2 linked regions of the Kluyveromyces lactis genome follow. The protein of the gene in region 1 purifies or fractionates together with the protein of each later gene. This does not show direct contact. Links are inferred from orthologs where the notes say so. Each region holds a gene or a part of one and is shown on either strand. Other genes may lie near its edges.

Region 1 (4,418 bases):
TAATCCGTTGTTCCATCCATGCAAGTGCAAAGGCTCCATCAAATATATTCATCAATTATGTTTGATCGAATGGCTACAGTCAAAACATGTCGATGTTACAAAACCTGGTGCAGGGATGGTATGTTCGATTTGTAATCATCCAATCGCGTTCCAAACTTTGTATGATGAATCAATGCCAGAGAAGATCCCACTTCTACTTCTTCTGAAACATAGCGTTTTCAAAATCTTTGGCAAATTAAATCACTATTTCAAATTCACATTGATTGCGTTCCTTTTCTTCATTGGAATTCCCCTGTCCTGGAATATCTGGGGGAAGCTATATACGGCTACTGTGGATGATTTTTCATTTCCTTCAAATAACAAATGGTATATCAATTTGATTTATGGCTTTGAAAGAAACATACCAAAAAATCCAACAACTACGGATATTTTATATCAACTAGTGATAAATTACAGATTTTCGTTGTTACAAATTCTGATGGTTTTGATCGTGCATGCTATCGCATATTTACAATATGATATGGTAGTCAGAGAGCCAATTTTCAATAAGATGATCTTGCATAAGATTGGACCAAGATTTTCAAAACAAGAGCTGGCCATGCAGTCATTAAGAGAAAGATTTCCAAATATGGATCCAAATGATATAAGCATGCTCATAAATGCCCTCAATAGACAACGACAAGACGATCCAAATGAAGATGATACTTCAGAAGACGAACAAGAACAGAACAATTTCATCGTAAACGAAAATAATGATGAGCCTCAGCTTGCCAACTAACTATAATCCCCCATTTAAATATTTACGATATTGATAATCTTCATATTGAAACATTGCATCAGCCTTCACTCCAGTTCGAAATAAACTTCTATATACAATATAATTCCCTCGTTGTCCCATCAAATCATTCACTTGCTTTAGTAAAACATGCTAGCCCATTAGATTCTCAAAGATGAATTTGGTATTACCCGGCTTATAATGGAAATTGAAATTTGAAGAAGGAAATTTCAACATGGGCGCAGACAATCAGTATATACATCGTCGACTGATCTCGTTTCACAACTAAGTACAACAGGTTAACAATATTTAATCTTTGCTACAATTGTATAGCTGTTGAAGTTGAATAATTATATCATAGAAACTGAATCTTCAACTTGAGTTTTCCGCATTAGATCCCTGCATTACTCTTTTCTTCTGATCACAATATCATATTTCTTCTGCAACATATTCATATCATTACCAATTAGCTGAGTTATTAATCGACTGTACTTTTAATTCACAATCCATTATGGAAAGACACTTTGCACAAAGAGAACTCGATGGGCGGTTGGATGCTCAACTCGGACGACCTCAGCCTGTTGAAGGAGAAGTACAAGAAGATGGAATAAATGCTCAACCAGCGGTTGTACTAGAGAATGAAGATGGTCAACCTACGGCTATCTTGAATTTAAATCTTGATTACAAATATTTACCGAGCTACTTTTCCTTAGTCTTTTCTGTCATTGGTGGATATCTTTTCATTTCATACGCTTTAGCCACACTTGTCGGATATCTGTTGAATTTCATTTATTTTAGAGTTGTGATTATAATGCTGAATGGAGTAATAGTGTCAGCAGAGAGGTTAAATATCCCAGAATACAATCAAAAGCTTATAGAAACTTTTTCTTTGGTATCCTACGTTGAAAATTGGATTAATGGGACAGTTTTAATGCCAATAGTATCGTACTATCAGGGATACATGAAAGGCACAGCAAAACATACGATGCTGGTACGAATGTTGGCGCCAGCCAGTACATATGCGACTTTCATAGTTCTTTGTTGCTGTATACCAGAACTGTTATCTAGAGGGCATTCCAAGAAGCTACCTCTAAAGAATTCTTTGAAAAGAACGATTTTCAAGTTTTCCTATATCATCAAGTGCACATTGAAAGTGCTAGGGTTGTTTACACTTGAACTTGCCGGATTTCCGATTTTAGCGGGGTTTTTGATTGATGTGTCACTGATCTCACCGCTATTATTACCACAGAGCAGCTTGACTTTCGTACCGAGTTTTTGTTCCTTTTGGCCGCCTATGACATTTATTATTTATTGGGCGATTGGTACTGTTTATATGTATCATTTTGCTCAATATGTCGGCATGGTAAGACAATATATTATCAGACCGGGTGTTCTTTTCTTCATAAGATCACCAGATGATCCTAATATTAAGCTATTACAGGATTCTTTGATATACCCAATGAAACTTCAACTCTCCAGACTTGCATTGTCGATGGCAATCTATACAGCATTCATTTTAGTAGGTTTTGGATTTCATACGAGACTTTTGTTTCCTTACATTTTACATTCGGAACTTTTACCTATGAAGCATGGATTGTCAACTCTCATAAAACCAAATTCTATGTTTTCTATTGCAGTCATTGCTGGAACGTATCTCATTCTCTCGAAGAATAGAGTTATTGATGCTTATGTTAGACAATATTGGGTCTTTGTATTCAATATATGCTGCAGAAAACTAAGACTTTCCTCTTTCATCTTAGGAAAAGATTCACCAACTGAGAGAGGACATGTTATTTATAGGAACTTTTACTATAAATGGTTCGTCCCAAACAAGGCAAAACTGTCCAACCTAGAATTATACTCTCATCCAAAATCGCTCGATGAAACCTATACTCTTTTCAAAACTATTCCTGATGTTCACGCATATTTTGTCCCCGATGGCACCATGATGCGCGTACCTGCGAGCGACATAATATCAAAAAAATATGCACAATTGTTGTTCGTCCCAGTTACTAAGGATGACAAACTTCTAAAGCCATTGGATATCGAAAAAATCAAAGAAAGACAGAAACGAAATGCCGGAGAATTTGGCTACCTAGAAAAACAGCCCACGGAATTTGATGAATATAAGGTAGTTTATGTCCCTCCGCATTTTACTTTCACTTATTCGCTGTTAATTGTCTTCATATGGATCTTTGCTTCCCTTTTGTTTACTGCTGTGTTATTAATCTCAAATTTTGCTGGGCTTCCCATTATCACTGGATTGCAATTATTGTTGAATGCGGTTATCCCCCCAGCAATGAAATTTCAAAATGAACTCTATGAAAGTGTAAAACCATTAAATCTTCTTTCCGTTTCTTCTGGTATGATACTTTTGTCTCTCGCTTTGTCATCCTACCACGCACATCTATTAAATAATATCCATCTAAATGACAGAATATTGGAGGTTAATGCCGAACACAATGGGGATGTTCCAAATAACGGTCCAAACGACGATAATCATCAGCATATAGTTCACAATGATGATAATATTCCCGAAAATGATGAAAATCCAGTAGCCAATGAATTTAGAGTACCGGAAATTGCTGAAGGTGATGTTTGGAACTTGATCAAAGGCTTTGTAACAATGGTGTATCCAGTCTTTACATTCTACTTTATGCCAATCATTTTCAAGTTGAATATCAATTATCATTCGGTCTTCATATTCACCTACTTCAAAGATTTCTACTGGAAAGGCGACGTTCTCGAAAACACAAGCCCTGATATATCGTTTGTTCCATTCCTTTCGAACCTCGCATCAAAATCAGAATACAGCGGCTATTCAGCTTACTCATTAATAGCTGCTCTATTGTTTTGTCAAGTAGCAGCAGTGGCGTACATCGCGGTACAGTGCAGTTTGAAGCGGAATAAAACATTAGGATTCAGAAGATTACTCATTAGGGTCACGGATATATGCTTTGTGTACCTCGTTGCAATGATTGCGGTACCTTTTGCTCTGCAATATAGTTTTTCTATGTTTGAATTCCTTACCCACAAACAAGTTTACACCTCTTCATGGGCACCATTTGTTTATTTCATTTTCATACAGCCTTCTGTCTCGGCAGATCATTCCCTTATGACTACATTTCAAAAGGCATTCTACTACGTTGATGTAGTGACGATTTCCTCGGCGTTCCTAACTGTGAGCTCAATTTTATCCAAGTCGCTTTACAATTCTTTATCTCAAAGTGTGAGAGACGAAGTGTATGCAAGAGGAAGGATACTAAAAAACTTTGAAGAATAGTTTGATCAGTCAAGATGTCTTTATAGATTTATTAGCGAAATTTTTTTATTCAATGAATTATTTTATCTAGTCTTACCATTAAAATTTATTACTTACGACTGGGAAGTAAAATGATGGAAAACAGGATATGTAGCTATTTAGATGCAAATTGATCGAAAAAGCTGGCTTTGGGTATTTTGGGATTTTTGCCGTAAGATTTATTTTCTTTATTGCTGAAGAGATGGACAATTTTCCTTTTGTTATCCTTTCTGTTGGAATGAACTTTCTCAAGAATAGGTTGTACTTCCACAATTTCTTCAACCAAATCCTCTGACGGAAGAGAGGAGCTTTTAGAAGGACTACAGCTGTTAGGTTGATGTA
Region 2 (2,661 bases), on another chromosome or scaffold:
CGCAATCACAATCACAACCAGAATCATCACAAAAGGCTAGTATCGTAAATCTTAGTACCGGTGCCGCCGAAACTCCAAACCCTTCACCAGCTAAAAGATCGATCTCGCAGCTTGTCTCAGAAGCTGCAACCACAGTTGGAAAGGAGAAGCTCAAACGCAGGGTTCAACCTACTCTCGTCACATCAGATCAACCTAAATAGAACTAGATTAGTTTATAGAGAGGGAGATGGCGGAATAACACGTGACTTTGAACTGTTCTCTACGCAATAATTACTGTGTATAGTAGTAAGTAATAATCGCCGAGTTAAGATTCGAGACACCAGCCGATTGCCTTATTGCCAAGCCCGTGACAAGAATCAGGGTGTTGGCAGTTCTAGGAGGTAGAAACAGAAAGGTCTGGGAAACAATATAGAAACAAAATAGGAAATGCAAAAAAATGGTTAGTCACGTGATCAACATTTCTCTCTGGAAAGACATCTAGCTGTAAAGGACACACTCTAGCATGTAATTGAGAATGGATTTCATTTACTGGTATATGTACGATTTATAGATATCTACACAATTGTACCTATCATTTCAGTAGAGACTGTAGGTATTCACTGTTTTCCACCTTTAGTTCCATACTCTTTCTTGCCTGCCATACCATTAATCTCTTTCTTTCTTCTATGGAAAGATCGTTGGGATTCAAGTTTGAAAGATCTTCTTGTGGATCCACGTTGAATTTTTTTAGCAGATTGTCAGCTTTAATGTTGGATCTTTTCCGTGGATCTGTAGATGTGCTATTGTTGTTTGTATTGTTTCCTGTAGTTACAGAGCTTCCGGTCGATTGATTTTGACCATTGGAAGAATTGCCACCTGTTTCAGATTCTGGGACGTAATCTGGTGGGAATGGCATATCTCTACCCGAGAGATATCTTTCTACAGTAGTTTCAACTGATCCGGTTTGTTCCAAGTCGTATCTGATCTGTTCTGGATGTAGATGTGGAGCCAAGGATTGTACCACTTCGATCATATCATCGTTGACTCTACGACGAATACGCCTTCTAGTCTGTCTTGAAGCGGCATTACTTGACGCGGCGGTACCTGAAGCCGTGGCAGAGTCTGATTGCGAAGAAAAACCATTGATTTGGATGGATGGATGTTGTTCGTTATTGCTCAAAAACCATTTCACAGCAATATAACCGGCAATAGCCAAAATGATAAATAATGTGAAACTTTGATCCGCCATGATTAAAGTTTTAATTCAGATACTCTATCTAACACAATAATTTCTGTCTGCTCTCAATATATTGCTGTGATATTAATTATTCTGGAGACAGGAAAACACAGTATGCCTGGTTATGGAGCAAATACTTGTCTTGTTACAGTTTTTACTTGTGAATGATAATTAATATCATTCATTTCTTATTAAAGAGAAAAATTGTGTAAACGACCTGTAAAGGAAAAAAATGTTAAAGAGCAGAAGGACGTGTGTACAGCTTGCTGTGCAATCTGTCCTTTTCACTGCAGTGCATATAATCAGCGTATAGAACGCTAGTTCCAAATAGATTTCCGTTGATATCCTTGATTATTACGTTCTATATTATTCATATATGTTACAAATAGATGAAGCCATTAGGCTGATGTCGAATTACATGCCCAAGATGGAAGTGAGCTATGCAACACCACCGCTTCATCCCTTAAACTCCATTCTGAACTTCTTTTTCTGATTTTGTACTTTGTAAATAAACTGAGGAAGGCATTCCGCTTCTCGAACGGTATAGTTATCGAAGTGTTCCCTGACACCTTTCGCAAGCTCCTGCTTCGTAACCCTTGCATCTGGTACATTTTTCTGGTTTCGTTTCGCCGAGTAAGTATGTTTCCCAATCCTTGATCCTAGAAGGTACCCTTGTATTGATAGATTATCTGGAGATTTCAATTGGAACCTATCCTTATACCGCCTTAAAAATTCATCGGAGTATTGTTCGAAATCCATCGGATTTGGGAGCGGCTCATTCTTCGGATGATTGTTATGTATATGTTTCTTGTTCAAGTCCTTCAAGTATTGCTGTTGAGCACTCGAGAGTCTTTGTTTCACACTGGTCCTGGTCGATGCACCTGAAGTTGCATTGTTCGATGATTTGCCCTTAGATTCGGACTCTGAATTTGAGTTATTGTGTCCCCTTGGTGCCATGTCGTGTAAGATCCTTGTGACTGTACAGCACCCACTCTATTTGACACCTGAGATGGTATGGAGCAGTACATGGTAATGCCCTTTACCACCTGGACAAATGTTCAAAAAGATCAAAATTTTGTACTTAAGACACTTTTTTTTCTTAGATAAGTGGGAATAACTTGGAATTAGATATAGAGGATGACTACATTAAACAAAGAACATACATGCAGTCCCTGCGTCTCATCTCATTTACGTAAGAATCTATTGAAGTTTTGTAATACCGTGTCCATCGCCTTAGTCCTGGAAATGCCGTGAGCTCTTGAAATGGCGTCAAGAACGGAATCTAGCATCTGTCGTTGCTCTTGCGACGACACTGAATCCACAGAACAATCTGTCTCTGTCAAAATACACTGCAAGGGCAAACTCTTCAACAGCTCAGCACCAGAATCCCAGTCTTTCAAGTTGATCCAACACGAAACGCTAAAGAAAAGCCGTTCATGTGGGAA

Evidence for each region.
Region 2: the proteins of SSM4 (region 1) and CUE1 purify together in Saccharomyces cerevisiae (affinity purification with western blotting; 5 studies listed by BioGRID, with this or other methods). This does not show direct contact. The link is inferred for Kluyveromyces lactis from reciprocal best matches to the Saccharomyces cerevisiae genes SSM4 and CUE1.

The regions. Positions count from the first base shown.
Region 1 is NC_006042.1:2,565,930-2,570,347, reverse strand, and holds SSM4 (E3 ubiquitin-protein ligase SSM4), read left to right. Parts: upstream 1-1,286; coding exon 1,287-4,058; downstream 4,059-4,418. Other genes in the region: KLLA0_F27709g (uncharacterized protein), read left to right, coding at 1-778; SUMO protease ULP2, read right to left, coding at 4,192-4,418. UniProt on the Saccharomyces cerevisiae protein: E3 ubiquitin-protein ligase which accepts ubiquitin specifically from endoplasmic reticulum-associated UBC6 and UBC7 E2 ligases, and transfers it to substrates promoting their degradation.
Region 2 is NC_006041.1:984,951-987,611, forward strand, and holds CUE1 (Cue1p), read right to left. Parts: upstream 1,229-2,661; coding exon 572-1,228; downstream 1-571. Other genes in the region: CAC2 (Cac2p), read left to right, coding at 1-200; SAP30 (Sap30p), read right to left, coding at 1,673-2,173; KLLA0_E11243g (putative endodeoxyribonuclease), read right to left, coding at 2,401-2,661. UniProt on the Saccharomyces cerevisiae protein: Component of the endoplasmic reticulum-associated protein degradation (ERAD) pathway.